Linked DNA regions of Oryctolagus cuniculus. The protein of the gene in region 6 interacts with the protein of the main gene of each other region in a pairwise test. Links are inferred from orthologs where the notes say so. Each region holds a gene or a part of one and is shown on either strand. Other genes may lie near its edges.

Evidence for each region.
Region 1: the proteins of UBE3A (region 6) and MCM6 interact in binary tests that used the Homo sapiens proteins (3 or more experiments, as listed by UniProt). The link is inferred for Oryctolagus cuniculus from reciprocal best matches to the Homo sapiens genes UBE3A and MCM6.
Region 2: the proteins of UBE3A (region 6) and JADE1 interact in a two-hybrid assay, tested with the Homo sapiens proteins (3 studies listed by BioGRID and IntAct). The link is inferred for Oryctolagus cuniculus from reciprocal best matches to the Homo sapiens genes UBE3A and JADE1.
Region 3: the proteins of UBE3A (region 6) and TAT interact in binary tests that used the Homo sapiens proteins (3 or more experiments, as listed by UniProt). The link is inferred for Oryctolagus cuniculus from reciprocal best matches to the Homo sapiens genes UBE3A and TAT.
Region 4: the proteins of UBE3A (region 6) and YWHAZ interact in a two-hybrid assay, tested with the Homo sapiens proteins (2 studies listed by BioGRID and IntAct, with this or other methods). The link is inferred for Oryctolagus cuniculus from reciprocal best matches to the Homo sapiens genes UBE3A and YWHAZ.
Region 5: the proteins of UBE3A (region 6) and UBQLN2 interact in a two-hybrid assay, tested with the Homo sapiens proteins (2 studies listed by BioGRID and IntAct). The link is inferred for Oryctolagus cuniculus from reciprocal best matches to the Homo sapiens genes UBE3A and UBQLN2.

Annotation. Positions count from the first base shown.
Region 1 is NC_091434.1:107,465,844-107,470,474, forward strand, and holds part of MCM6 (DNA replication licensing factor MCM6), read left to right. Parts: intron 1-749; coding exon 750-860; intron 861-2,035; coding exon 2,036-2,285; intron 2,286-4,631. UniProt on the Homo sapiens protein: Acts as a component of the MCM2-7 complex (MCM complex) which is the replicative helicase essential for 'once per cell cycle' DNA replication initiation and elongation in eukaryotic cells.
Region 2 is NC_091439.1:35,931,831-35,936,894, reverse strand, and holds the start of JADE1 (protein Jade-1), read left to right. Parts: upstream 1-1,607; 5' UTR 1,608-1,711; coding exon 1,712-1,781; intron 1,782-4,089; coding exon 4,090-4,167; intron 4,168-5,064.
Region 3 is NC_091449.1:55,670,727-55,676,056, forward strand, and holds the start of TAT (tyrosine aminotransferase), read left to right. Parts: upstream 1-2,007; 5' UTR 2,008-2,161; intron 2,162-3,146; exon of another isoform or gene 3,147-3,170; 5' UTR 3,171-3,182; coding exon 3,183-3,417; intron 3,418-3,569; coding exon 3,570-3,674; intron 3,675-5,220; coding exon 5,221-5,288; intron 5,289-5,330. UniProt on the Homo sapiens protein: Transaminase involved in tyrosine breakdown. Converts tyrosine to p-hydroxyphenylpyruvate. Can catalyze the reverse reaction, using glutamic acid, with 2-oxoglutarate as cosubstrate (in vitro).
Region 4 is NC_091437.1:126,360,092-126,365,473, forward strand, and holds the start of YWHAZ (14-3-3 protein zeta/delta), read right to left. Parts: upstream 3,275-5,382; 5' UTR 3,134-3,274; intron 2,460-3,133; exon of another isoform or gene 2,414-2,459; intron 361-2,413; 5' UTR 350-360; coding exon 56-349; intron 1-55.
Region 5 is NC_091453.1:39,986,820-39,992,017, reverse strand, and holds the start of UBQLN2 (ubiquilin-2), read right to left. Parts: upstream 3,575-5,198; 5' UTR 2,891-3,574; coding exon 1,013-2,890; 3' UTR 1-1,012. UniProt on the Homo sapiens protein: Plays an important role in the regulation of different protein degradation mechanisms and pathways including ubiquitin-proteasome system (UPS), autophagy and the endoplasmic reticulum-associated protein degradation (ERAD) pathway.
Region 6 is NC_091443.1:14,371,885-14,377,315, reverse strand, and holds the start of UBE3A (ubiquitin-protein ligase E3A), read left to right. Parts: upstream 1-2,257; 5' UTR 2,258-2,362; coding exon 2,363-2,382; exon of another isoform or gene 2,383-4,203; intron 4,204-4,874; exon of another isoform or gene 4,875-5,013; intron 5,014-5,431. UniProt on the Homo sapiens protein: E3 ubiquitin-protein ligase which accepts ubiquitin from an E2 ubiquitin-conjugating enzyme in the form of a thioester and transfers it to its substrates.

The DNA.
Region 1 (4,631 bases), on a different chromosome or scaffold from region 6:
CAATGGATGGAAGATCTCTTATCTCTGTGTCTCCTCTCTCTAGCTCTGTCTTTCAGATAAATAAAATCTTTATAAAAAAAAGAAAGGTTGGAAGAATATATACCCTGAAGACTTAGAATCCTCACAAGTGAGGGAGAGAGAGAAAATTAGGTTTAGAGGTAGGAGTGAGTACCTGTGCTAAACTTCCTAAATGAGCTGTCCATCTTTTTTTTTTTTTTCTAGGTCTGTTCCTTAAACCAAGCTACCATAGCTATTGGGGACTTAAGATACACCAGATGAACCAGTCAAGTGAAACATTTCTGCGTGTTTGCTAAATTTCTCCCTTATCCTCATCCATTATCAGTTAAGAATGTAACCAAAAACTACTATATATGCTAGGGCCTGACAACAAATATGAAGTTGTCTTAATTAGATTGTAAACAGCCCTGTGAAAACTCACAGTATTCAGCATCATACTGACAAGACAGATGGTTTAGGTAGAGTTGTGTTGGACAAAGGAGTGACCTTTGTCACTAGAATGTGAGTGCTAAATTACTCAAAGATAAGATAGGTATAGCATTTATCTTTGGTGTTATGTGGTGGGATGGGAGAGGGTTGAAAGAGACTCTTAAACCCAGATTAGATGATAGAAATGTCCTGTACAGTTAAGTCCTAGGGCTTGATTGTGACCAGATGAAATTCCTTAGACTCAGCTGTTGCAAGAGAGATGTAAGATATCTGAGCTATCAGCTGACTTTTTTCTTTTTCAGAGTTTACCCTTACCTGTGTCGGGCCTTAAAAACTTTCGTCAAAGACCGGAAAGAGATCCCTCTTGCCAAGGATTTTTATGTTGCATTTCAAGACCTGCCTACTAGACACAAGTAAGAAAAACTCTTCTTAGAAAAGGAATTCACCAAATAATATTGGTACCATTTAGCTGACAGTCAGAAAATTTGGGAGGTTACACTGATGTGCTATAGCGAGCTGTTTAATATCACACAAATCACATTTGCCTCCTGGGGCCTCAGTTTTTCATATGTAAAATCTTTTGGTTTAGATTTTTTTTTCTACCTAATCATGCAAAAGGTAGATTTCTTGCTGTAAAATTACTTATTCATGCTTGGTAGTGACAAGAATTGAAAAAAATAAAAAGAAAGTACTTATAAATTGATGAATATGGGGGGAGGAATAGTGTTTTGTGTGCACATTTTGTAAACAGATTGGCTTTTTTCTAGTTACACCTGGTTGTACAGAACATTTAGTTTTAGAAAAACATGATTTTCTATGAAGATGGGATGGTAAGTAAAGTGAAGCAGATTCTTATGATTGTTCATTTTATAGCACATTTAAAAAGGGAAGCTTGGGGCAAAAATGAGAAAATAGCACTCAGAACACTTGTAGAGATTTATAAATCTTCTGAATATTTTGTTATCTTAAATACAAAGCTTTCAAATAGTCTTTAGTAATTACGTTAAAAAGATACTATTGAAAGAAATTGAAGTGGTATTTTTGCTCAATCTCGGGTGGCTGAACGCCACTTATCCCTCTAAGAAGTTGGGGGACGCCGACCGCTCGGGGGTCGCGTAACTGAAGTGGTATTTTTGAGAACTAAAACTGCTGAAAATATGTTACGAAATTACCAAGTTTTTCATATAAAATGTATGTGTGAAATAGTTTTTCAACTTCTGAGTATAACATTTTTTCCTTTGATAACTTCATTATGAAAGTAATTAATGATTTCTTAGAAATTGTAGATAAGCAAAAACAGTATATAAAACAAAGCTGAGATTATCCTGTTTGTAATTTTAACTTTATTTGGTGTCCTTTAGTTAGCTTTTCATATTTATTCATCTATATGTTTTGTTGTGAATATGTGTGCACTGTGTAATTTAGGAATAGGGGTGTTGACAAAGAATCGTTTTTTTTCAGTAGTGTCCAAAGAACACTTTGCCTTTTTTTTTAAAGTGTAAATTATCATTGAATTTTCTCATTAGGATGGAAAGATTTCTTAGTTGAGAAATGAATATTTACTAGTGGGATATTTATCTTTAAACAGGATTCGTGAACTCACTTCATCCAGAATTGGTTTGCTCACCCGCATCAGTGGGCAGGTGGTACGGACTCACCCAGTTCACCCAGAGCTAGTGAGCGGAACATTCCTGTGCTTGGACTGTCAGACAGTGATCAAGGATGTAGAACAGCAGTTCAAATACACACAGCCAAATATCTGCCGAAACCCAGTTTGTGCCAATAGGAGAAGATTCTTGCTGGATACAAATAAATCGAGATTTGTTGATTTTCAGAAGGTATTTCTTTCCTTTTCTTTAGACCAGATTCAGTTCTGATTCCCTTTCTGGCCCTTGCAATTAGTTTATTTAGGTAATGTTAAATTCAGTCTTTATGTGAATTATCGTTGAAAGTGACCATAGAGATGTGTGTTTAGTAGTTAAGATTCCTGTGTCCCATACCAGAATACCTGGGTTTGAATCTCAGTTCTGTATCCTGATTCCAGCTTCCTGCTAATGCAGATCTTGGAAGGGAACAGTGATAGCTCAAGTAATTAGTTTCCTGCCCCCCACTTGGGAGAGCTGGATTGAGTTCCTAGCTCCTGGCTTTGGCACCTGGCCTAGTCTGTCATTGTGGGCATTTGGGGAGTGAACCAGATGGGAGCACTGTCTGTTTGTCTCTCTTTCTTCCAAATAAATATGAAAGGGGAGAAAGGAAAGAAATATATTTGTCAAAGAATAAACAGTAGCTATTATGATAATGATGAAGAAGAATTGGAGTTAAGAAAACTTAGGAGAAGTAGCAATATATTAGTATAAAACTTTGAATTGGTTAAAAAAAAAGCATGAGTGAATGGACAGGCTAAGATGGAAGCTATGAGATGATCATGATTGAAGTGTTAAGATCCAAATTGGAGGTCAGCTGAGAGATGATTTCATATGAAGCCTATAGGTGTTTGGATCCTTAAATCTTAGTTGACAAGTTCAGCACTGTCTGTAAGAATTGGAGATACAGCTATATTATTTAAGAGGCAAAGTCCTCATCTCCTGGTTCATTCCCCAAATGCCCAGGATGCCTGGATTGGGCCAGGCTGAACCTAGGATCTGGGAATTCAGTCCATTTGTACTTGATGGGTGGCAGGAACTCAACCACTTGAACCATCACCTGCTACATTCCAGGATGTGCTTTAGCAGGAAGTTGGAATCAGGAGCAGATTCCTGACTTGAAGTCAGGTACTCTGATTTGAAGACCAAACACTGACTCAGATTTTCTTTTCTTTTTTTTTTTTTCTTTTTTTTTTTTTTTTTCCAGGGGAAATTTAATGGGACAGTGTTTAATAAATCTTAACAGGTAGTTTTAGTTGCCTGGGTAAGAAGCGATGGTAGTAAGAATGAAGAGGAGGAGTCAGCATCATGGCTCAGGGTTGAACCACCACCTGTGATGCTGGTATTTCCATATGAGCACCAGTGTGAGTCCCAGCTACTCCACTTCTGATCCAGCTCTATGCTAATGTGCATGGGAAAGCAGTGGAAGATGGCTCAAGCATTTGGGCCCCTGATGCCCATGTGGGAGACCTGGATGGGGTTCCAGATTCCTACCTTCAGCCTGCCACAGTCCTGTCCGTTGGGGCCACTTCGGAAGTGAACCAGCAGGTGGAAGATCTCTTCCTGTCTCTTCCTATCTCTAACTCTGCCTTTCAAATAAATGTATAATTAGAGGTGAGGGGAGATCTTTCATCTGCTGGTTCACTCCCTAAATGGCCACAATGACCAGGGCTGGGCCTTGCTGAAGTCTGCAGCCAGGAGCTTCTTCCGGGTCTCCCATCTTCCATTGTTTCCCTAGGCTTACTAGCAGGGAGCGGGATTGAAAGTGGAGCAGCCAGGACATGAACCAGCACCCATATGGCATGCCAACACCGTGGATCGAGGTGTAACCAACCCACTGTGCCACAGCACCGACTCCAATAAATTTCTAAAAAAGAGAGAGAAGCTCTCAGACCTTGGTAAATTTCTATAGGATATGCAAAGAAGAGAAGCTTTAGCATGGAGAAATGATCAGAGTAAAACGAGTAAAGTTGAATTCTGTTTTTCTTAAGGCAGTTTTCTTAAGCTTAATTTTCTTAAGCCAATCTGATAATTTATAAGAAGCATCAATACTTTAGGAGAGAGTTTATTAAAAGAACATGATGCGGGCCATGTGTTGTGGCACAGCAGGTTGAACCACTGCTTCAAATGCCTGCATCTCATATTGGAGTGCTAGTTCAAGTCATGGCTGCTCCATGTCCAGTCTGGCATTCCTGCTAATGCATCCTGAGAGGCAGCAGATGGTGGCTCAAGTGCTTGGTCCCCTGCCATTATGGGAGACTTGGATGAAGTTGAGGCTCAGCCCTGGTTGTTGGCAGGCATTTGGTGAGTGAACCAGAGGATGGAAGATAACTGTGTGTCTACCACATGATGTGACTGTGAGATACAAAGCATGTGTCTAGACTAGGTCTTGGTTTGGGGGAAAGAACATAACTATAATAAAGGATGTTCTTGGAGCTGACATTTGGTACAGCAGTTAAGAAGCCACTTAGGGGGCTGGTGCTATGGTGTAGAAGATAAGCCGCCGCCTGAAACAGCATCCCATGTGGACATTGGTTTGTC
Region 2 (5,064 bases), on a different chromosome or scaffold from region 6:
GGACGCATTCAGACTGTAGTAGTAGTGGAAGAACAGAGTCATGGGGCAGCAGGGGGACTTGAAAGAGTCATGCATTATGAGTCCAGGAGCCTTGGCAGTTGGATATAAGGCAAGAAGGGATGTGTGTTATTTTGAGAAATGTATATGAGTGCATTGAAGATTCTGAGTGGGAAGAAGACATGTGGAGAAATAAGCTAAGGCTTATCTGTATGTTGATTATTACGGTGTTTTGTTCCTTTCCCGGCTCCCTCCCTGAGGGGCTCTAGGACTCAGAGTCCTCCCTGGACCCCTCACACGCCTGTTCCTGGAGAGCCCTGTGCTTGTCCTGGTGGCCTCTCTCCTCAGCTACCCCTGAAGCTCTGTGAGGGCAGGAGTAGTGATTTCCCCCGGCACCTCTCAGTCTCTCGGTATTTGGACATTGTGGGATGCATTATATGCTGTTAGGATCTTCTTGCTGCTTTCTCTGGAGTGCTCTGAGTAGCTCTTTTAATTGATTGTTTCTTAATCCTACCACCATTTAGATAGTAGTGAGTGATTGCTTTGGAGGAGTCAGGAAAGGGAGGAACGCACAGGCTCCTTGTGTTCTGGGGCTGGCTTTTTAGTGGACAGATGTTGGCAGCGTGCACTGATCATATTGCACATCTTAAAGGTGGTAACATGCACTTTGATGTTCTGGTACAGTAAGTAAGCCTGGGTGCGATAAATCTTCCGACGTCAGGGTTTAAGTGCATCATAACCCCAGTGCGGGAAAGGCTGTGGTGTAGTTCCCCGGAGGAGCAGAGTGCGGCAAACCTAACCCTCTTTCCTCGTGAACGTCAGGGTACGTGAACATAGAATTCAGCAGAATCTACTTACTTACTTTAAGATTTATTTTATTTATTTGAAAGACAGTTACAGAGAGAGGTAGAACCAGAGAAAGAGAGAGGTCTTCCATCTGCTGGTTCACTCCCCAAATGGCTGCAATGGTTGGAGCTGAGCCAATCAGAAGTCAGGAGCTGGAAGCTTCTTCCAGGTCTCCCATGCAGGTGCAGGAGACCAAGCACTTGACCATCTTCTACTGCTTTCCCAGGCCATAGCAGAGAGCTGGATGGGAAGTAGAGCAACCGGGACTTGAACTGGCACCCATATGGGATGCTGGCACTGCAGGCTGGGGGCTTTAACCCTGTGCACCACAGCATTGGCCCCCGGAGTTTACTTTCTTAGGTGCATAATTTTGTTTGAGAGGGTATTTATGTGTATTTGGTCAGCACTTGAGTTTTTGACTTAATGACTGCTAAAGTGGCTTCTCTGGTAGTTTTGTATGGAAGCTGGAAGGAAAGCATTTTGCTTCCAAAAGATTCTGAGTTCTCCAGTTTTCTATTTAGGTAAGTTTAAACAAAAATAAAGTTTATTTTGAGAGAGAGACAGACAATTTCTATCTCCCCAGATCTTCCAGGTTTCCCACATGGGGGTTGCAGGAGCCAAAGCACCTGGTGTCCCTTGGGGTGCACCTTAGCAGGAAGCTGGAACCCGAACCGGGAATCAGGAGTCGGGGCACTCCAGTGTGGGATGTGGATGTCTAAGCTGCTAGACTTAAGTGCCTGCTCCCCGTGTAGGTAAATTTAAGTCGTCTGAGTCAGTGAAGATTCTGTAAGCCTTGTTTCCTTGTTTGTAGCTGGGAAGTATTTTATGGGCTTTCTCAGCCTCTTATTTCTCACAGTTCTCACGGCTCATGAGGTGGCAAACTGCATGGCTTTTGCTGTGTTGCATCAGGCTGTTACTTTTGAGGAATTCCTCTTCAGGTAGGACTTTTAAAGCTCGCGTGTAACATAGGTTTTGGGGAGCTGGGGCTGTTAGGAATGAGAGGCTTTTGCCTTTCGCTCTTCTCATTGTACCTCCTGTGGCGTCCTCAGGGGAGCAGGAGTGTCTTCTGTAGAAAACTGGAGGAGAGGTTAGCTGTCCTGCAGCCCTTGGTGTTTCTGGCACACAGAGGACAGGGAAGGTGATCATTTCCAGCTGGGAGTGGGTCACTGCTGTTTGTTGCCCTGGGAAGCCTTGGCTTGGAGCAGGCCACCTTGTGTTAGAATTGTGGGTGGGTGGGTTTTAGGATTGAGCCTGCCCTGCTATGAAACCCTGGCCCACCAAGCATGCTCCCTAACATAACTTAAGACACAGGTTGGGACTCGTGTCAAGCTTCCTTTAGGTAAATCTGATGGGTTTTGAAGAATCATCTGAGTGAGTTTTTCAGGAAGAAAGTCAAACTCGGTACTGCAATTCTAGATTAGGGGCTTGAACATGTAAATAAAGCGTGTGGGTTCATGTCATTAGAGGAAACTGTGTTACAGACCTTTCCTGTGCTGTGAATAAAATGATAGAAGAAGCCAGATTCCAGAAGAGCCAAACGAACTTTATTGATGTTGATGTTTTTACTTGCGGGGCTTCATAGACAGGTGGTACAAAACCCAAAAAGGTGATTAGACCTGGGGGCTTACATACAATTTTAGCAAAGAGTGATAAATTGTGAGGTGACTAGACAAAGGAATAGGGAGTTTGGGCTTCCAACGGGGTTAACTTTGGACAGATGCCAAGGAAGTGCACAAGGGAAACTAATGGTAGATAAGGGTTCTTTGTGGGGGGCCCCTTGATAAATGGATATCTCCTTTGCAAAAGGGAAACTTATACCCAGGTTTGGTTGGGTAGGAGGAAGGCAGAGGGCCTCCTGTGCCTGCTATTTAGTTGTCATTTGCCCTCAGCTCAAAATAACCCTTGGACCAACATGGTGTATTTTGATCCTCTTTGGCAGGATGTATTTTCTGCCGTTATTGATGGCTTTTTTCACAGGTCCATTTAGAGTAGAGCTTTTTATTTTTTATTTTAATTGCTGAGTTGTTCCAGCATAGTGTTTCTCCACTATCCTTTGTGCCACACTTTCATTGGAAGCACTGCATAATGCTTGTGATTCCCAGTGAGGAGGATGTTGGGATATACTTCCCTGAGGGTGTGGGTGATGGACTACCAAGCTTTTCTTAACCTGAACAAGTTCCTCATTCTCATTGGGAATCATTGATCGGGCAGTAAGTTCAAGGCTCTAAAGGTGTCAGGATGATCAATAATTTTAGTTTGAAAAAGCTTTTTGGGTTTGTTTAGAGAGCTGTCCTGTGTGACTAACTGCAAGATCATCTGTGTAAGTTCAGTGACTGGCCACCTACTGCCCTGTCAACTAAAAGCAGTCTCCTCTGACTTGAGGGTGGTGCTGTGGCCAGCTACCTGGGAGGAACTGGGCAGGTAGGCTGAGTTTGTGTACACTGATTTCTTAGTTTGGCTGGATTTGATTGTTATCTGTCCTGAAAGGAGTTGGAGTGGAGTGGAGACAGCATTGGATTTAGGGTAAGAAGCTCCCTGTCCAAGAGTGACCTTGGGGAAGCCGCCTCTTAACCTTTCGGCTTTATCTTCCTAATGAATGAGAGGCAGGCATCTGGACCAGAATTTAACACGTGTCTGTGGTCCCATTCTGTTGCGGCTTTGAGTTGCTGAGGGGTTGGGGATAGCTGGGGAAGACACCATTCCCATACCCCATTTGTTTTGTTTCTAGAACTGGGTTATTTGGCTTTTAGGATGATTTTAGCCAAATTTGCCAGAGAAGCGTATTCCTGCCCAGTTCAGTGTAAGCACTCACACGTCCAGGCACAGCCCCACCTCCCCCCACGTGCACACATAAAATATGAATCTGTCTGTAGTGAGGAGGCACAGTGTTCATTGCTGTGGATTTTTTTCTGCAGTGCTTGCCGCCAGTCAGCAAAAGAGACTCTTGTGGAGTAGTTGTAGTAATAATGTCACAGGAATACAGAGAGAAACCTGGCACCCTTGGGAGACCTGCTGATACGTGACTTCTCCACCCCCCCACCCCCACCCTTTTAACTTGGTCTGTTAATGATTACACCTAATTATGTATCTTTGGTCTTTCTTTTTTTCTTTCTGTTGATAATTGAAATGCTGCTTAAAGCCATTTGTTTGCTTTTGTTTGCAGTAAATCCTGGGCTGCCATCTGAAGCCCAACTTGATGATTGTGTATTATCATCTTGGGTTAAGTGCTGTCTCATTGCTTTGCAGGCTGCCTGCTGTTTCCCGGGGAGATCATGAAACGAGGTCGCCTTCCCAGCAGCAGTGAGGATTCCGACGACAATGGCAGTAAGTCCTGCTTTGTTGTTCTTGGAACCTGCCAGGGTCTGGGTCGGTGTAAAAACATGATTTTTTAATGTAATGCTTTAAATAGCTGAGGCCCTTTGCATATGAGGCAGGTCAGAGAAAGCCGAGGCCTGGAGAAACACATCAGAGTGTGGTACTGCAGGTCTGTAACCAGATCTCTCTGAGTAAGGCTGACTGCAGGCAAGCATTCCTGAAGCTTCCTGTTTGTTATCCAGGGATGAATAATCCAGTCCCAAGAGTCACTGGTGTGTCTGTTTTTCTTAAACATCATTTATGGCACTTCACAGTTGCTCTTTACGAAAAGAGAACTTAATCAGAGCAGGGTAATTATTAACTAGTCCAGCACCAGGGGAGATTGAGGACTGCCTGGAATGACAGGAAAATATTAAGTACAGGTTCCTAGTAGGTCTGGAGTCCCTTATCTTCCCTTGGTTTTATTTACTATTTTAAAACATCTGTTTATTTTTTATCTACTTGAAAGGCACAGGGCCAGAGAAAAACACAGAGAGAGACACACATACACACACAGAGACAGATTTTTCCATGGCTGGTTCACTGTCCAAATGCCCACAACAGGCAGGGCTGGGCTAGGCTAAAGCCACAAGCCTGGAACCCCATCCAGGTCTTTTAGAGGAGCAGCAGGAGCCCAAGTGCTTGAGCCATCACCTGCTGCCTCCCCAGGCACATTTGCAAGAAGCCAGGTTGGAAGCAGAGCAGCCTGGATGCGAACTGTTGCTCTGATGTGGGATCTGGGTGTCATAGCGGTGGTTTCACCTGCCGTGCCACAACGCCTGCCTCTTCCTTGGGGTTTCACGTGACTGTATTTCATAGAACTGCTGTCTGCATCCCCGTTCTCTGGCAGCCTCATATTTTCACAGT
Region 3 (5,330 bases), on a different chromosome or scaffold from region 6:
AATGAGGCTAAAGTTGCACAGGTCTTGGCTGCCTTGGAGACCCTGAACTGATAAGGTGTTAGTTGAAGGGATCCTCAGCTGCCCAGTTTGTTGTAACTGGAGTCCAGTGCTTTGTGGGCTGGCAAAGAAAGGAGTCTGGACGTAGGAAGTTAAAAAGCATGTTGCCAACAAGGTGCAGAACCTGATCCCACCTGTGTTTTGGAAATCTGTAAAGTTATGGATGTATGTATGCATCCATATGTATCTGTGCCCATCCATCCATCCATCCAGCCACCCACCCATCCATCTTGGATAGATAGAAAGGATCAAATTGTTACCACTGCTGAACCCTTGGAGTGAGAATGGAGTGTTCAGGCAGCAAGTACAAGGAAGGACTCTAACTTTTTACTTTGTGTTTCTGTACTGTTAAAATTTTAATAGGTTGTTTTCTAACAACAACAACAACAACATTTAATAAAAATTATTGCGTGTAATCCTTACTCTTTGACAGTCTGTCCAAATGGGGTCAGCGCTTTGGCTTAGTGGGTAAAGAGGATGTCTGCAGTGCTGGCATCCCATATAGGTGCCAGTTTGAGTCCTGGCCGCTCCACTTCCATTCCATCTCACTGCTATGGCCTGGGAAAGCAGTAGAAGACGGCCCAAGTGCTTAGGCCCCTGCACCCATATGAGAGACCCAGAAGAAGCTCCTGGCTTCAGATCGGCTCAGCTCCAGCAGTTGTGGCCATCTGGGGAGTGAATCATTAGATGGAAGACCTCTCTCTCTGCCTCTGCCTCTACCTTTCTGGAACTCTGCCTTTTAGATAAATAAATAAATCTTAAAAAAAAATAGAAAAGAGAGGGAAGAGATGTGCAATTCGGGACATGCTCAAGCTGACTTACCTCAAACAGTAGAGTTAGAAACATACCAGGGGATTCCAATTCAATCCCATCAAGGTGGCATGTACCAATGCCATCTCACTAGTCCCAGTGATCAATTTCAGTTCACAATTGATCATAATGATAGGACTAAGAACCAAAGGGATCACATAAACAAAAATAGTGTCTGCAAATACTAGCTGATAGAATAAAAAAGGGAGAGAACGATCCAACATGGGAAGTGAGATACACAGCAGACCCATAGAATGGCAGATGTCCTAAACAGCACTCTGGCCTCAGAATCAGCCCTTAAGGCATGCGGATCTGGCTGAAATGCCCATGAGAGTATTTCAGGCATGGAAAGCCAAGACACTCTGGCAAAAACAAAACAAAACAAACAAACAAACAAAAAACACCTAAATGAAAGGTCTCCGCGAGTGAGATCCCAGTGGAAAGAACAGGTCATCAAAGAAGGAGGTACCTTTCTCTGAAGGGAGGAGAGAACTTCCACTTTGACCATGGCCTTGTCTAAATATGATCAGAGTCGGTGAACTCAGGGGGCTTCCATAGCCTTGGCAACTCATGACAAGAGCCTAGGGTGATTACTGAGGCCATAAACAAGAGTGTCAATTTGTTAAGTCAACAACAGGAATCACTGTGCACTTACTCCTCATGTAGGATCTCTGTCCTTAGTGTGTGTACATTGAGATTTAATGCTATAACTAGTACTCAAACAGTATTTTTCACTTTATGTTTCTGTGTGGGAGCAAACTGTTGAAATCTTTACTTAATGTATGCTAAACTGATCTTCTGTATATAAAAAGAATAGAAAATGAATCTTGATGTGAATGGAAGGGGAGAGGGAGTGGGAAAGGGGAGGGTTGCGGGTGGGAGAGACGTTATGGGGGGGAAGCCATTGTAATCCATAAGCTGTACTTTGGAAATTTATATTCATTAAATAAAAGTTAAAAAAAAAAAAACAGAAAAGAAACTCTGCCCAAACATCTGACAAAGTGCCCACAAAGAGTTAACACAGAGTCCCAGATGTTTGAAGTGAGGACAATTCCTGATTTGAGGGTGAGAGGCAGGTCTAGGGGTGAGAGAGGGGGAGGAAAGGGGCCAAGGGGAGGGTTTAGGCCTCACCCCACCAATAGCATCAAGGTTTTGGGCCCAACGCCCATTTGTGGAGACTATTTCAGGAGTTCAGTTTTGTATCTGAGTTCACTGCTACGGTAACCTGTCAAGCAAGATCTGAGTGAACTTTCAGGTTTGGCACCCCGGAGGCTGCTGCTCCTTAGCTTGAAAGGTAAAATTCTCAGAACAGAGCTGATGTGGTGACGGTGACTGGGTGTTCACCTCTTCCTCTCTGGTGTGTTGACTTCTTCCAGGCAAGATTGTAAGATGCTTAGGGATACGGCTTTGCTTTTGCTAGCAACAGCATTAGCACTAAATTTCTGACAGGGTGGGGTGAGTCCTCCTGGTTCTCTGCAGAGGGCAAGACACAGAATATTGAATTAGTAGGGAAGACGCTTAGATAGGCTCTGCCTGGAAAGTAGCAAACACATGTGTTTTGATTGCTTAGTGATTTAATATCATTCCCTCTTGGTTTTATCAGAGCATTGTTAGGCTTTTATAGGGATTACAGTTGACTTAGCAAATTCCACTTACAGCAAGTCAGCATTCAAATGAATGCTCTCTGAACATTGTAGAGTGGGTTCCTGCTTTATTTTCCGTATCAGGAAAAAGTCTTTTTTTTTTTTTTTTAATTTTTTGACAGGCAGAGTGGACAGTGAGAGAGAGAGAGAGAGAGAGAGAGAGAGAGAGAGAGAGAGAGAGAAAGGTCTTCCTTTTGCCGTTGGTTCACCCTCTAATGGCTGCTGCGGCTGGTGCGCTGCGGCCGGCGCATAGCGCTGATCTGAAGCCAGGAGCCAGGTGCTTCTAGTCTCCCATGCGGGTGCAGGGCCCAAGGACTTGGGCCATCCTCTACTGCCCTCCTGGGCCACAGCAGAGAGCTGGACTGGAAGAGGGGCATCCGGGACAGAATCCAGCGCCCTGACCGGGACTAGAACCCGGGGTGCCGGTGCCGCAGGCGGAGGATTAGCCTAGTGAGCCGTGGCGCCGGCCAGGAAAAAGTCTTAAAGCTCTCCTCTTCTCCTTTATAACAAGGCCACTTTATAAGAGAAGGCAGGAAAAAAAAAAAAAAAGAAGAAGAAGAGTTTGGAAAGAGACTCCGAGTGTAGTCACTCCTATGTTTAGGTCCCGATGTAGCAATCCGGATGGGCCCATCAGCATCACAGGGACTGGCTTTCCCCCAGGTTTTCCTAGTGATGGACCCCTACATGATTCAGACGAATGGCAACAACCACATCCCCTCAGTGCTGGATGTGCATGTCAACTTTGGTGGGAGAAGCTCCGTGCCGGGCAAGATGAAAGGCAGGAGGACCAGGTGGTCTGTGAGACCCTCAGACATGTCCAACAAAACTTTCAATCCCATCCGGGCCATTGTGGACAGCATGAAGGTGAAGCCGAATCCAAGCAAAGCCATGATTTCCCTCTCAATCGGTGAGTGGGGGACACTCGAGGCATGGGCAGCGACGGTCTTCCCCCTGGACTGGTTAAGAAGATGGGAGCAGAGGGTGGACAAGAGTCTGAGTGCAGCACATGGGAGAGTAACCTCTGGGTGGCTCCTTCTGTTTTCTCTCTCCCATGAAAAGGAGATCCTACTGTGTTTGGAAACCTGCCTACCGACACTGAAGTTACCCAAGCAATGAAAGATGCCCTGGATTCAGGGAAATACAATGGCTATGCCCCATCCATTGGTAAGCTCCTCTCCAGATTCCCTACCGAGTGATTTCCAAATCTTTGGTGCATTTATAATAGGACCAAACATCTAGCAATTCATGCATACTTCCTGAGGAGAGGGTAAGATGAAACAGGCCTTGGGATTTGGGGAAACATGAGCCACAAAGGCCCAACTTCTTTCCTGGCTCCTTCTGGCCTGCTGGCACCTTCCCTCTAGGCACCCAAGCAGATTTATCCATCAAATAATGCTCCTCTTACAGCATGACTAATTCTAAGACGATGGCCCTGGGTCTGCTGGAGTCCCTGGCTGGAGTCTTCTAGGCCCTTTATGAATTTACTTATTGGCCTATGTAAATAGCTCCTTTGACTTATTTCTTTCTATCTTGAAAGCCTATTTTCATTATGATCCTGATAACACTGAAATGTAATTTGTTACTCTTTAGGATTAAAGAGGACAAGAACAACAAAGAAGGGCTGACATATTGAAGGAAATAAATTAATGCTGATAGAAATTATTTCTATTTAGGTTTGATTCTCTCCATCTATTGACAATTTCTACTCTATAAAGATTTTGGTAAAATACGTAATTCTATGACTTTGTTTCAGTGTTTCACATTTTTGCCCCTTTGTGTAAATGTGTGCAGAAAAACATTCTTATTGCAAGATAAAAACCCAGATTCATGCTAAAATCAAATTTTAAAACTACTTACAGAGGAATCAGGGACATAGTTTTTAGATTGATATGTTACACTTTATAAAGTTTCAAAACAAAACTCAAAATCAAGACCAAGTGTTAGGTTATAAAGAAAAAACTCAATGATTCTAATATCCTAAGTATTGAGAAACTGATTCAACCTAAAATATCAAGACTGACTCTCTGTTTGACAAATGTGCAAAAGGTATGGCAGAGATGACAATATATATCTGGAAAAATGTTTTCCTTCATTAATAACTAAGGATATACTGATTTATATAATTTCAAGAGGCCTGTTGGCACCTAACAAGCATTGTGAAATACCACCCATGACCTTGCTTTTTGGCTTTTCTAACTTGTCTTTTTGAACAGCAATTTTACAAAATATTATAATGGACACAAAACTGACAATAATTTAATCTTATAAGCATCCACTAATAAATCTCTTACAGGAGAATAATTTGAAAGAAAAAATGTGTACCAAATAGTTGTGATATATTACATAATGCAAAAAACTCAAAATAGATCACATGTATTGAGTGCATTTAATGACAATTTTAAAAAAATATATAGTCTCTCCAAGAGATTTAGGAATAATCTAAATCCTTTATTTTACAGAGGAAAAAACAGTAATCAAGATGACGCAGAGTATTTTATCGTTTGGGGAGTTCTTGTTATTCTTTACATGTCTGTGTTTATAATAGAGTTGTAAAATACAAAATGTACTGCTAATCTACAGTGGTTGGGATGGAGCCAAATGTTAGGTTATTAAAAAAAAAAACCTTAATGATTTTAATATCATTAAGGGGCATCATCATTAAGTGGAGGGATGAAAACCTCCAGTTCCCTCTTTTCACTGTTCTTTTCAGGCTACCTGTCCAGTCGGGAGGAGGTAGCTTCTTATTACCACTGTCCAGAGGCCCCCCTGGATGCTCAGGTGAGCCCTGTGCAGGGAACCCGCTCTGAAGCCTTTTGCCTT
Region 4 (5,382 bases), on a different chromosome or scaffold from region 6:
ACACATTACAGTAATTCTACATTATAATAAAAAAAAGACAAAGTTTTGTCCTCACCAGTACATCATTGCAGATATCTCTTAGCTCGGTCTCAATTTTCTCTCTGTATTCTCGAGCCATCTGCTGTTTTTTCTCAGCACCTTCGGTCTTTTGCTCAATACTTGAGACGACCCTCCAAGATGACCTGCGGGCTCCTACGACATTTTTATAGGCTACCGAGAGAAGATTCCTCTCCTCGTTAGATAACTCAGCTCCTTGCTCGGTCACAGACTTCATGCAAGCTGCCATGTCATCATACCGCTCGGCCTGCTCAGCCAGTTTGGCCTTCTGCACCAGCTCATTTTTATCCATGACTGGATGTTCTGCAGGAGGAAAAAAAAAAAAAGAAAAAACAACAACAGTATTTAGACATTTTTCTCTCCCATCAAAATAAAGAGAATGAAAATTCTACCTGTGGTAAGTAAGTTATATCAACACTTCAAACCTAGTGTCTGTGAAAGACTGTTCACTGGAGGAATTCAAATGCAGCCTCACAAAAGGATGGTCACGACAGGGAAAAAAAAACTCACAACAACAATGGAGAGGGAAATTCACAGCAAGGAACACCAGTTTTGCACATTTGGTCAAAAGGCTGCCTTTTAAAATTACCCCTTATCTCACTTGACCAAAAATCTCTATCATGAGACCCAAAATTAGAACAGCTTCTCCTCCTTCATGAAAACAAGGCAAACAAAGAACAGTGCCACTACCGTCATCCCTATCTCCAGAACCACAGTCCATGTCTTTTTTCTTTCCTAATACTTACTCTGATCAGGGATGATTAAATTTAGTTGGTGTCACTCCCACCCAATATAGCAACATTTGCCAGCTGATCACAGCATGACAATTTCTGGAACACACAAATTGCTCATTCTTAAAATATTCTGAATATAAAGCCATCACCAAGGATCACTCTCTAACTGACCCTAAGGCCTCCTTTATACCTTCTTATGTGCATACATGCTTCACAAAGTGGCCCAAGGGTCCCTTTCATTTCAATTCCATCCGAGAGCAGTAAAATTCATCACATTGGAAGCATCTGCGTTTCCAATGTCCCCGTTCCAGTTTCAAAATAGAATTACTGCACCGCTTCTAGTACTCACAATTTAATGAGATGTTATCACTCAAGCTGCCCTTTCCCCTAGCTCTCCTTCCCTCATTTAAGGTTCCCCGTACTTTTCAGGTTACCTCCACTGCATTTATCTTATAAGATAGCCTTTCAGACGGTGCTCAACAGCAGAGAAAGGTACTACACCGTACTGTGATACCACAGAACAAAGGATTTAAAAGCACACACAGAGCCTGAAATGAAATGTACTATTAGATTAAAACGGGGGACGGAAGGGCCACTGTCATCTCCCAGGGGAACTGACTTCCCAATATCTCATTCTTTATCTTCCCAGGGAAACCCCACCATACTGCTTAAAAACTCAAAAGGAAACTGGCCAGAGCGTATGCGAGGAGGGCCATCTCAATGTGCAAAATAGTTAACATTTATCATCGAACATTTCTTCTCGGTTCTTCAAAAATAACCCTTCCCATAAAATCGCCAAACATTTTCTGCTTAATATTGCTTCTAAAGAAAAATGGCTTAAAACCAATACAAAGGTTTTCCTCTACAACCCCTCCGGGACAAGGGGAAGTGGATTAGGTTTCTCGGAGTAACTAGTGCTCCAAGGCCTCGCCTCTATATGGAGATGACTCGCCGCACCCATTTAACCCTTCCGCGGCGTCAGGCGTCGGGGAGGGTGCAACGCAAACCCGCAGACCGTGACTTTAAAGTGCAAAGCCTCCGTGCGCGCAATCCGCAACCACCCCTCCTCCTAGGCCCCGCCCAAGCCGGTGCCTTCGCACAAGTCGCCGACTCTCCCTCTTTGTCATGGCGGATCTGTGTCAAGGAGCCCAACCTACCGCCGAGTGTTAACCCCCCGCCCAGAGCAGGAGGGCGGAGCAGCCCGCGCCCCCGCCCAAGTGGAGGGGGGCGCCCGACCCGGGGACCGAGACGCCAGCACCGCCCGCAGAAGCGGAACCACTACCAGCTCGGCCGCGGACACACCCCGCTCTCCCACCCCGCGTCTTCCCCGCCACCGATGCCCATCCAGAGTCCAAGGACCCGACAGCTGCAGCAGGTGGGGGAGGGGGCGGAGAGCCACACCCAGCCCGGCGAGGCCACCACCGGCTGTTACGCTCGGGGCCCGCAAAGCAGGATCAGGGCCCCTGGTTCCAGCCCGGGGGGGGGGGGGGGGGGGCCGGAGAGCGAGAGCAGCCGAGCGCCGTCTCCCCCACCTCCCCTACCCGACCTGGGCCCGGAGCTCCCCCGCGCCACCCCCGCCCCACCACAAGTAGAAAAGAACCAGTCCCCTCCCCCATCCCAACCGGGAAAATTCAAGTCCTTCCTCCCGCCGCCGCCGCCGCCGGTCCCGGGCCGGCCCCTCCCCACGCCGGCTGGCCCTCGGCGGCCTCGCCCTGCCCGACGTGGGGCAGCGCCGAGCGCGGCGGCCCGGTCCCCGCGGCCCCGGCCCCTCCCGGCCGCGCCGCGCCCCGGGTGGGGGAGGGCGATCGCACCGCGGGGCGCGGAGGCTGCGCCCGGGAGCGGGGGAGGGGGCGAGCCGGGGAACCGGATCGGGGAGGGGGCGGCCTCACCTGCGCCACTGCAATGCCCGCCGCGGCCGCCAAGTCATTCTCCCGGGCGGAAGCGGGGACGCACGGGCCAGGGTGGGGACGGAACGCGGCCGGGGCGCCTCGGCCGCGCCTCGGCAGCCGTGGGGAGCCGGCGGCCGGGGGATCCCCGGGGATCTCGTGTCGGGGGCGCCTTTCCCATCCCCCCCCACACACCCGGGGGATCCAGAGAGGGGAGCGGGCGCCGATCGGGGCCGAGGCACTGGCCCGGAAACATGTAGCCGGAGGCGGCCGCAAGCCGCCCGCCCGAGTCCTGCGGAAGAGAAGCCGCCGCCCGTGTCTGCCTGAGGAGACTCCGCCTCAGCTCCGCGCCGCTACCGCCCGACGGCCGGGCCGATGGGGCCGCGGAGGCGAGGTCGGCTCCCAAGCCTTCCGAGGGCCGGCCGGGGGCGAGGCGGCTGCGGCCGGGTCCCTTACCTGTGTCCGGAGTAGGAGCCGACAGACGGACGGAGGCTCACCGGGCTCTGGGCGGCGGCGGAGAGGCTGAGACTCTGTCCCTGAATCTCGCTGCTCACAGGCTACAGCCGCTCCGCAGACACGGGGTTTCCTCCAATCACCAGCCCCGGCAGCAGGGGCACCACACGCACGATGACGTCAAACGCTGCTATGGCAACCGTTGATTGGTGCCCACAGCTCCGGGGGCCTTAGCGCAACCGCCGCTCCCCGGCGCGCGCCCTACCCGCCCGCGCTAGAGGGCGAGCGAAGGAGCGCGCGTCCTCGCCCCGCGACCGGCGCTCGGCTTCCACCTTGTCTACTCGTTCCCCGAGTGCGCCTGGGCAGGAAGCTGCTGTACTTCCCTCCCCACCGCCACCCCGCTTCCTCGTCTTCCTCTCGGACGCCGCGCCCCCCCCCCCCGCCCCTATCCTCCGGCTCTCCCTTCCGCTAATCCTACGGGAAGAAAATGTGTCCCCACCCCCACTTCAGCGTTCGACCTGGCCTGCGCCTGCGCCAATCACTCCCTCTTCAGAAGGGGCTCCGCTTCAGCAACATCCGGGACCTTTCGCTCGCGCCCCCACCCCCCCCGCCCCCGCCCTGAGGCCTGGCCCGCCCCGGGGTCCGGGGTCCGTGCTTCGCGGTGGTGACTGCCGTAGGGCGGTCCGAGGGCTGGATTACGGGGCCGGCTGGGGCGGCCGGGCATTGTGAGCGGCTTTTGGGGGAAGGGGCAGGGCGAGGGCGGGGCCGCGTGCGGCGCGCTCCCCGCAGGACCCCGCCCGGCCGTGCGCCCGCGGCTGCCCAGGGCGGGGCGGACCTGGGTGCGCGGCGCCTGCCTGCCGCGGCCACGGCCGCCGCTTTACCTGTCGGCGCGGGGGAAGAGGCCTTAGACCTTTTAAGGTTCGGAAAAGAGGACGGAGCGACCAGCCCCTAAGTGTGGCTGAGTGACGGGCAGCTTTTCCAATCGGGAGCTTGGGATCCTCGCCCGGTGACAGCGGCGAGAGGACAATGGGTGGGCGCCGAGGCGGGGGCGACAGGCACGGCCTGGCGGAGACGCGGTCACTCTCAGAAAGCCTCGCTCCCGAGCGGGAGAGGCCGGCTGCTTAGGTGGACGCCAGCACACGAAACGGCTGCCTTTCCCGTTGGGTAGTTTGGGTTTTTTTTCCCCCCTACCAAATCAGACTTGGCTATAGAACATAAAGGTCATAGCCATTTTGTCTCCGAAGGCTAGATCTGAGCAAAGTCCTAGTGCCCAGGGCCCCGGCTGACCCAGCCCGGCGGCAGGGAGAGGGGGCAGAGGAGCGGAAATTGCAGGTGTCTCGCGGCCCGGCTCCACCCAGCCGGCGGAAGGAAGTGCGGAGAGCTGCAGTCACAGCGGAAGATGCCCGCCCAGCACCCTGCACCGTGCACGCGTGTTAGTGCTGAGGACTGCCCAGTGCTCGGGTGACCTGCAAAACCACGCAGCAGCCGTGGAAGGCTGGTGGTTGTCAGGGACTCTTGCGGTGCCCTCCTTGGGTGCACAGCCCCTTGGCCCAATACCTTTATTTAGCAGCTACTGGGCTCCCGCCCCAAACACAGGAGACTCGCGACCCTGAGGAGTTGGGCCTCAATTTCTCGGTAGTAGGCACAAGGCGATGCCTCATCCTTCCAGGACTTGTCTTTTTCTACCTGATGGATATGATGTCTGGCCCGCAGGGCCTTTCAAGTCTGGGTTGCTTTTTGCCAGAAGCAACAGCTGGCATTTAGATAGAATAGACCAGCAAGAGGGTTCTGTGACAAAATGTCTGATTCCAAAATGTGATGGGTAGAGCCCTGTAATAAAGACCTGCAGCAGATACGGAAGTCAGCCGAAACACACTGACAGCTGACCGCATGCGAGTCTCCTTATTTTTCCCGGGTTTGCGCATCAGTACAGATTCATAGTAGGCTGAATGGATGGAAAAATTGAGGTTTTTCTTTGAAATAATAAAATGAACATGCCTTGACTCCCAAGTAAATTCTTTCAGGGAGCAACTCACTTAAAATGACTAGCATTTTCAAAAGCTGTTTTTTAAAAAGGTTGCTTCCAGTTTTGTATTAGGTACTTGAAATTTGACAGAAGATACCACGAGAAACTTTTTTTAAGATTATTTATTTAAGATGCAGAGTTACAGAGAGAGGGAGAGACATAGGTCTTCCATCGGCTGATTCACTCCCCAAATAGCCACAACAACCAGAGCTGGGCATATTGGAAG
Region 5 (5,198 bases), on a different chromosome or scaffold from region 6:
GGATCTCTTCACGGGAGAAGCTGAGAAGGAAGTCTTAGGTAAAAAGCACTTTCCTGGCATTACTACACTGATCCTTCAGGCTGCACAAAGATTAAAGTCATATACAGTCAATCTGCAAATGTTGACACAATGTTACACTGTAAGTTTTCTGTACAATTAAATGTATACTTAGATATACCAGGATAAACATTTCTACTATATTTTAACTGAACTTGCCTAGCCAACATTTTCACTGAGGAATTTATCAAATATGCTGTAAGATTCTACAAAACTGTGAGACATACCTAGCTCCAGAATATTTCTGATATTCTTTCTCCTTTTGGTTACACATTCTCTGCTCATATTCTACTGCAATATTTCTAGATGTACAGTTCCAATTGTGCTTACTGTACTGTGTACAAATATAGCAAAAAAAAGATCAATGAATGGTACAAATCTTACAGCATTTTGCTAGCAAAAATACATGCCAAAGTCACAATAAGCAATATTGTACCACAAATTAGAGCTTCAAATAATTTGCTTGTTTTTAATATCTTCATTCTACATTAAATTACTATCATAGGCTAATGTTTAAAATGCAAATAAATCAGACATCTGTAGGACAAAACTTGTTCACCCAACTGTGAAGGCTGATACCTGTTTCCAAAAATCACAATAAATGCAGGATAAAGAGAAGTGTTCGCATGCAACACCTTTGAGTGAAACAGCATTGATCCCCACCATTCAAAACAGAGAAGGAAATCAAAGAAAAAAAAACAAAGATGGAGACAGGAGGAAAAGAGAGGGAGAGGGAAAAGGGAAAGGGGAATGGGGAAGGGTAGGAAGGGGGAAGGGAGAAAAGAAGGAAAGAGGGAGGGAAGGACTCCACCTTAAAATGCATCATATTAAGATTTATAACTAGACAGATTTAAAAGCATCAAAATCAAAGTAAAGCACAATTCTGTGTGTGTTTAAAGATTTAAGAGCCATTATCAAAAATAAGATACATTTTTTTCAAGGTACAGAAATGTAATTACGAGGGCTGCGAGCCCAGCAGCCTCTCAATGGCTGCATTGATGTCGCCTCCTGTTGCTATTAGAGCCTGCAAGTTTGCTTCACGATTTAAGAACCCCATTGCGTTGAGCTGTTCCAGTTGCTGCTGAAATCTGACTTCTGGATTCGGAAGCTGTGGAGGATTTGCTCCAGCCAGAGCCTGCACCATTTGCTGAATGAACTGCTGGTTCGGTCCAGCTTCTGATGTTGGACTCGTGGTTTCACTGGGTGCAGAGTTGGACACGTTGGGCCCAGTGGGGCCACCAGAGCCAGTGGACCCAGGGGTGCCTGCAGGACCAGTGGGTCCTATGGGCCCAATGGGGCCTATCGGGGTAAAAGGGACTATAGGGCCTATGGGGCCTATGGGAGTGACCGGGCCGACCGGGCCTATGGCGGTTCCCAGCACTCCCACTCCCACACCTGGAGTGAAGCTTGGGATGAGGCCAGGGGCTTCAGTGGCTAATGTCTGTAGTCCCTGCTGGATCTGCATTAAAGCCTGCATTGCTCTTGGGTTTGACATGGCTGATAGTGTGTCTGGATTCTGCATCTGCTGAAGGAAAGCTGGGAGCTGTGGACGCATCTGCTCCTGCAGCTGAGGATTTGCAGTGAATAGAGGGCTATTCAGCATCATCTGTGCAGCCAAATCTGGATTCTGGCTCAGTGACTGCATCATGCTTCTCATGTAGGGTGCAGACAGCATATTCTGAATCAGCTGGGGGTTTTCTGTTATCTGTTGCAGCAGACTCTGCATTCCTGGAGTACTGAAGATGCTGGCGACATAATTAGCTGCAGCCACGGTGTTCCCAGTAGCATTGCTGGAGCCACTGCCAGATCCACTGCCACTGCTTGTGGTCGTGCTGGTGGTCGCAGAACTCTGTGTGGCCGGTGGTGGTGCCCATGGATTAGGTAGTGGATCTCGATTTTCTGTGCGGGAAGGCTGAGTACCTTCTCCAGAGGAGGAACTGCTCCCCACCGAGGCAAACGGATTACCCCCAAACTGCTCTTGTGCGGCATTCAGCATCGGTTCTTGAATGTCAGTGTACATGCGCCGTAGTGCATTGTAGCCACCTGGGATGCTTTCGAGATTGCTGAGAGCCAGGTCTTGATTTCTCATCATCTCTTGCATCATGGCTGGATTCCTGGCGATTTCAAGGGTCTGCCTCATTATATCTGGGTTGTTGAGCAGATGACTGATTTCTGGATTTCTCTGAATCAATTGTTGCATCTGTGGATTGGCCATAATGAGCTGCCTCATCAGATCAGGATTCGAAAGCATACTCTGAACAAAGGGATTTTCCATGATTTGGATCATCATTTCAGGGCTGGCCATGAGCTGCTGCTGCATCTGGCTCTGGAGCTCAGAGAAGCTAGTAGAGCTCAAGCCTAGGCTGCTAAGGCCTGCAAGTCCTCCCAGGCTCCCCAACCCAAAAGGGTTGCTATTTGTGGAAATAGGTGTGGAGTTACTCCTGGGAGTCGACGCCGAGGTAGTAGTAGTTCCCGCGGCACTGCTAGCCTGTGTACTGGACTGGCCCTGAGGTCGATTCTGGCTTTTGATGACAAGGTGAACAGTCAGTCCATCATGGATGCCATGCTGCATCAAGGTATCTTGATCTTTTAAGATTTTTCCGGCAAAAATCAGCACTAGCTGATCGGTTTGAGATTTGAAGCGTTTCGAAATCGCTTCCTTAAACTGCTGGACCGAGCTATTTTCGGGCACTGCGAACTCCTCTTTCTCTTTGGGGGTCTTCACAGTGACTTTAATGATTTTGGGCTCGGCTGGTGTGGCGGCCGAGCCTTGGGCCGCACCAGGGCCGCGGGAGGGGCGCGGGGGGCCGCTGCTTTCGCCGTTCTCAGCCATGGCGGCCGCGGTGACGCAGGCGGGCAGGGAAGGCGCGGGCGGGCGAGACACAGCGAGGGAAAGAGGAAGGAAGGAGGCGCCGCCGCAGCGGGCTGAGTCGGGCCGGGCGGGGAGCGCGGAGCACGGTACCTCTGTGATGAGAACTGCGGTTCCCTGGTCCTCCGGTGGAGAGAGGGCTCAGCGTAGGCCTCAGGCTGAGGTCTCCGCGCTCAGGTCTCTGGGCCTCCTCCGCCGCCGCTTGTGATCCGACCGCGCGCACTCCCAGCAACTCCCGCAACCGCTCCGCCCGCTCCTCCCCGCCCCTTCCCCTCCCCCAGCTCCGCGCTCTCCTCCCCGCCCCACTCTGCTGACGCGGCGCCAGGCCCTGATTGATAGATCTGACTCGGTCAAAATTAAAAACTTCTGCCCTGAAAACAGAGGGAGAGAGGGAGAGTGGAAGAGAGGGAGAGAGAAAGGGAAAGGGGGAGAGAAACAAAAAGAGAAGAGCAAGGACTAGAATGAAAGAGAAAACAAGAAGCGAAGCAGGGAGGGAGGGAGGAAGAGAGGGAGGAGGCAGAAGAAACCAGCTTCTATAAACGACATTAAAAGACCAATGGAGAATATATGTTCGCAATCTGTAAGGCAGGAAAAGGATGAAAGCATGAATCAAACCGATCCCATATAAAAGACAAAAGATGAATAATAAAGAACTCTGACAAAGCAAAAAGGAGAGAGGACCACCCACAATGGGGGAAGGGGAGAAGACCCGGCAAGAGCTTGCATTTTAAAAACCTGTAAGTGGCCATTAGGCATAAGAAAGATGATTAAATCACTAGTAATCAAAGAAATTCAAATTAAAACAATGAAATTCTACTTTTGGCTTATTGTATTGGCAAAAGAAAAATAATGGTAAACCTCATTGACAGGGAGCTGAAAAAATGCACTCTCATGCTAGTTGAAGTGTGAATTGTTATAGAACAATTTGAAAATAAACATTAACATTTAAAATGCTTCTACCACCTTTATTTAGAAATCTCTCATCTACAGACATCTTAAAACAATTGGATAAGGATGCAAAAATATGTATTATATGGATAAGAACTGCACCATTTAAAAATATTATTTAAACATTTTAAAGTACTCTGTTTACAGGGGACCAGTCAAGCACATTATATTATATAATGAAGTAATATTTGCTATCTTTAAAACACAGGTGGTTAATTTCCTTAAAGTTGTATATGAAATAAACTATACTTACAGGGAAAATTTCAGAGTGTTTTTGCTTTTGGCTTTATATATTTCTGTATGTTAGAAACTGTACAACCATGTATATCTAAATATAAAAATACAATAAATTATTTTAGAACTAATATTTGACAATTAGTTGTATATCTAGACTGGTTGCATGCATGCATGAATGCATGTAAAAAAAGGAAAACTTTACAGGCTATACACCAATATGTTAATGATGGTAGTTATTACTGAGTGCTTCAATTGTCAATGATTCTTAATTTGCGTTTAAAAGATTTTGAATTTTCAGATGATTTTTATAAGTATGCACTTTATTTATAATTGTTTAAATCAGAAATATATTTTGGAGAAAGAGTATAGGTTGAAATTGATAAATACACAATAGTAATGGCAGATATTAACATATTTACTTCCTTTCATTAAAGATTAAACTAAGTAAAGATGTGGCAGTGCTGATGAAGAGAAATTGAATAATAGAAGAAATACAAATTTATGTATGTAATTCTAACCCTGGTTAGGACCACAGACAAAATAGTTCTGCCTTTAAGTATCTAGGGAACTTTTAACAGCAAGTCAAAATCACTGGGTCACCAACACCTTAATATATCATGATTAGAAAAATAAAGGTATGTGGTAGCCATCAATTAATAATAGAGTATGATTAATATGATACAAAATCAAAATAATAAATTTATTTTAATATATTAATATATGTATAAAAATAAAAAACCTAATTTATTAGCACATTCCAAACCATGGTCTATGGTGTTTATAGAAACACTCACATATATGGGAAATGTTCTATTAGAAATATACTACAATGATTTATTCCAAACTTCCACCCATATGGAAGAGGAAATGAAAAAGGATGCGGAAGAGTGATTAAAGGGAATTTTAATTAAATCTGTAAAAACTCATTTTATTTCAAAAATGGAAGAAAATATGCCATAATGTCAGCAATAGTTGATTGTAGATTTTGGGAAATTGAGAATTATAATTTGAAGAGTTTTCCAAAAGTTGATGGAAAATATGTATCATGTGAAAACTATGCATCAATTATGGCAAAAATAAATATCTT
Region 6 (5,431 bases):
GGCTGTTGGGCTATGAATATTAATAATAGATTTCATTTAAGATTTCATTATTTGCCAGACATTGTTTAGATGTTAGTTCATTCATCTTCATGACAGTCCTTACTACATCTTAGTTCTACCTATAGGAATACTAAGGTTCAGAGAGGTTAAGTAACTTGCCCAAGATTTCCCAGCTACTGAATGGCCAAACCAGGGACATGAATACCTGTTTGGAGCTTGTTTGGTGTTCTATTAAGCATTGGACCTCATAAAAGAGGAGTCTGGAAGAGATGTTTTGACTTTGTAATTTTTAATATACATATAGCTGTTTAATTTGGCTTCAATTAGTCAATTGAAAGATATTTTAACTTTCTTATTTTTGTGTTTATAAGATGTGAAGTTAGTGTTATTTGTATCTTCCAGATCACATACACTATTAGTTTCATCAACACTTAAGAGGAAACTCACTATTTTGACTCCATTCTTCATTTCAGGAATGCTGTTGCTTCTTTCTCATGTGACTTCAGTAATACATAGGTTCTTAATAAGACATGTAATTATGTCAGTCAAATTTAATTACAAGGTACTTCAAAGAATTAGTGGGAAATGGAATTAAAAGAAGTTTGTTTTGGTGCAGAAGTTTGTTAATTCCATGTATACTTTTTTCCTAATTCACGTTTTTCATGAACTTTTAAAGACTCCCCTCATTTCCTCATAATGATTGGATGTCAAAATATTTTGTACCAATTTTTGCTTATCTTTTAAATCCATTTTCCATGAACTTTTTGAAGTATTCTCATCTTTTTATAGTGATTGTAAGTCTTATTTATGGGCATTTCCTGAGATTATTTACATATACTCAGACAACTCCTCACCTTCATCTGGATTTAAAGCCCTGTGTTCATAGCTATGGAAGTACAGGCTCAAGCATTGATGTGTCAGCACTTCTCTATGGGTTCTCAGATACCTTGATGTTTTTTATTTGGCTCTGGGTCCATGCTGGTAACTGCCTTCTGTGCTTGTCTGTTGTTAGTTTGAACGCATTAATTATGAAAGATCATTCCCTTCTAATTTTCTCATCTTCCCTTAGTTGCTCCTCAGATAGTGCCTGAATAATGCAGTTCAGTAGGGGAATTACAAGAGGAAAAACTAATAGTTTGAAAGGATCTCTTGATACAAGGCTATATCACATGTATGCTGTGCTTGCCAAAACCTGTAGTATAATTAAGGAGATCTGCAAAATTTGGACCATGACAATTAGGAAAATTTAGCTGAGGCCACCTTAAAAGGGGGTAAAAGATAACTTGGTTGAAAGGAGGATATAATTTCATAGTTTTATCATAATCTTTCATGAAATTGAATCTAATGAGTTTGACTGGAAAGACTAGGACGTATTTTCATGCAGTAACCAAGGAGTTTTGGCTAATGTGTGGTGAATCTACGTAAATATGGAATAAGTAACACTTTGGTTTGTATATGTGCGTGTGTATGTATATAACTATTTCTTTAAACATTTTCATTTTTGGTGATTTGTTTTCTTCATCTGTTTAAGAACCCTATCACTAAAATGTGTCATATTGAACCTGTTGCCATAATTTTGAGGTCTCAATCCATGTCCTAATTTTTTTGCTCTTACATTAAGTAGCGAAACTAAACCAAAATAAAAATTCAGCCTCCAAAATCCAAACTTCTTTATTCAGTAAATTTGCATTTTATTACTAGTTTCAGCACTAATTCTAAAATCTTGGGCAAGTCAGTTAATCACTCTGAGGCTGCTTGATTTTTTAAAGTTCTTATGTATGAAATAGCTTTATTAGTTAGTCAAGTTGTCTTGAGATTCAAGGTAATTACCAAGCAGAGTGCTTTGTAAACTCATAACATTACACAGAAGTAGAAGGTATTATCACAGATTGAGTTTCCTTTGTCTGAAATAATTGAGACCAGAAATGCTTTATTTCTGAGTTGTTCGGATTTTGAATACTTGTATAGACTTTATTGGTTGAAAAATTCTATAATTTGAAAATCCAAAATGCTCCCAATAAGCCCTCAGATTATTTAGGAGCATTTTGGATTTTCAGGTTAGGGATGTTCAACCTATACCATGTTTTCTCAATGAAAATATCATTTAAGAAAACAAAATGCTGAAGAATAGTTCTTTGTAGTAATTATTCTTCTGATGAATTTTGCATTGACACCTAATTTAAAGTTTCAAATTATTATTTGAACAATGAATTGGATTTATATATTAAAGTGTTCTAACTAAAGATTTGTTTAATTTATTAGAGTTATTAAGCCTACGCTCAGATCAAGTTAGCAGCTAGACTGGTGTGCCAACCTGTTTTTAATCAGTGACTCAAAGCTGTGATCACCCTGATGTCACCGAATGGCCACAGCTTGTAAAAGGTAATTTTGAATGTTATGTTAGAGCCTTTAAAAGGCTGCCATTGTAAAGTGAAATACATGCTGTAAAAATGGAGAAAATGTGTAGTTGGCAGAAACACTGCCAAGAATAGTGGACCTAAGAGTTGATTTATTTCTTCATTTAGTCTCATTCTGAAATATTTATTTTTTTCCCCTCATTCAGAATATCAGTAGCCACCACTGAAGACTTATCTGTGTGGATAAACAGGAAAGCATTTCTCAAAAAATTTCAAGTTGTAACATATAAACATTTTATTATATACATTGTAAAGGAGATTTGTAATATTTCTTAATAAACATTTTAAAGTGTGTCTTTTACGTGGTGGGTGTTTTAATTAAGATACGTTTCTAGAAATTTTTATAACTTTAATAAAACTAGTATACTTTTCTCTCCTAGAGAGTTACAGTGGAGGTAAAAGGAGTGGCTTGCAGGATGGAGAAGCTGCACCCAGTATTATTGGAAGTGAGCCACCGTTTGAATTTGCTAGCTAATGCTGCAGTATTCAGATTAGTGGGTGTTTTGTGATCATACTTTTTGCTATTCAAATCAAGACTTAAAATTGAGACTTTTCTAAGCTGTATTTTCTATTTTTTTAATACTACTTAGTTATGGCTTCGTTTTTAAAATTTTCTTTCTGCTTTGTTACTCTGCTGGTTTAAGATAACAATGGCTTTTTTTTTTTTAATTTAGTAAAATTATGAGCACATAGTGGATTGTAACTCCCAACATCTTAGCAGTAAAGAATAAATAAGCTCTGAAGGAGCCAGAGTAGAGTGTGGGAACTGTTGTATAAGGGGGCCTTAAAAAAATTCATGTCCTGAAAAAAACATGTAAAAATTTAAAAGTTTTTCTGTATCAAAATTGTAATTCCATTTTTCCACAAAGTTTTTGAAGTGCCTTTGTGTGTTTCATAGTTTGAAGAGTTTGTATCCTAACTTTAGGATAATTTTTGGTAACTTTAAAATATTATTGAAATGTTTAAGCAAGATGACTAGAAATTTATTGAGAAATGGATCATTAATACTGCAAGAAGAGTGTTTATTCTCTGTATATTCATTTTTCTCTCGATTTAAAAAACATTTCCTATTTGAATAGAAAGTAATATGCTATATATGAGACCCAGAATAGATTTATTTTAAGGAAAATTTTTCAATTTTTTCTTATTGTTTTGTTCTTTTTCTAGACTGGATTGGTTTAAATTATTTGGTTTGACTCATAGACGGTTTTTAGTAACTCACTTTAACATACATAGATATTAAGTAATTATCTAGTATAACAATAGTGACATTTTGATACAAGTGATCACATACTGTTTAGGGGAAAGAAATTGGGAAAAATTGATGTTGAACTTTATCTCTGTCCTGTTTCAGAATCTCAAGACTTTGCAGCCATTATATGTTTTACTTTAAGGTTTGAGCTTGTTTTCCTTTTTGGCTGTGTCTTTCCTTTTTTTGCAGTACTATTTTAATTTTCCTATCATTAAGTCCCATTTTTCCCCTCACCTTGCCCTGATAATTTTTAGAGTTTGATACCTACATGTTTGAAAGCTTCTAATCTGCCCGTCTTCCCTCAGTGCCAGCACGAATTTAGTTTTTGTTTTGCAAGCCAGCTCTGTCTCTTTATAGTATGATATCTGATGCTAGGGGGTCACACTTGGCAAAAATGAATCAGCTGGTACATGGGCATATCATCAGTTTTTAGCTCTTCTGTCTAAAAGATACTAGTTTGGAAGCAATCTTGGGGTACTTACCCCACAAGGCTGGTAGAGACCAGGTGTGTCACAGAGGTGATTTGCTTGATCCCTGGGGAGAGGGTAGAGTGAAATTTTTACATTGTGTAACTTCAAAGTCACTACCACCTCCAGCATGCTCCGGTTTTTAGTTCTTAAACAATTTTCTATAAAATTTAAATATACTGGAAAGATCTAAAATAAATATTTGAGCTGCTGGAGTATTGCGTCCTTCGAATATGAATAGACTACAGTGAGTGTAACTTTGAAACCCTAATAAAAATTTTTTTTTGAAGCCCATAAATTTGGGGAACATTTTCTTCTAATGACTCTGATTTTAAAATTCTTTTAAGTTTTTTTTTTTTAAGTTGGATATCTGAAGTCTGATAAATTCACAAATCAAGTCCTTATAGTACCAATTTGATATACAGGTTTTGACTTCAAAGAAAATTTTTTTAACCTTTATTACGAATTTGAAACATTAGAAATTGGTATTATGTTGCTGTACATTTTTTTTTTAAATAAATTTGTGTATTTTTTATTTGTAAGAGTAACAGTTTGAGAGAAAGAGAGATCTTCTGTCTGCTGATTTGCTCCCACAGTGGCTGCAATGGCCAAGGCTGGGCCTAGCTGAAGCCAGGAGCCTCATTGAGGTCTCCCACATGGCTGGTAGAGTCTCAGACACTTGGACCATCATCTGCTGCTTTTTCCAGGCCGTTAACTGGGAGCTTGATTGGAAGTAGAGCAGCTGGGACACAAACTGGAACCCATATGAGCTGCCAGCTTTGCAGGTGGTGGCTTTATCCACTACAACACAACACCAGCCGCTGTTGGATTACTTTACAGCAGTGGTTGACTAATGCTGTTTATAAAAATGAATAAGGTAACAGGCTTTTTTTTTTTTTTTATACTGTAATAGTCATGGAAAATATGGGTTTGTGTCCTTCAAAATGAAAGTGAAAACCTTCTTCTTTAGAATTTTCAGTATTTCTACTTTAAATAACAGCAGTACATTCAGAGGTATCAAAGTAATTGACAACTATTTAAAACTGAATTAATTGACAATTATTCAGAGCTAACTTCAGTAGCCCAGGCAGTATACTTCAGATAGGTAGTACATCCTGCTAATATGTTTTTAGAGAGACCTAATTTCATTGTGGAATCAAGATAATCATGATCAGAATGGTATCTCACTGAGGCTGTTAGATTTTAGTTTGTTATTTAGTACAGAGATTGGCAAGCTTTTTTGTTAAGGTCTAGATAATAAATATTTTAGGCTTTGTGGACCATATGGTCTCTGC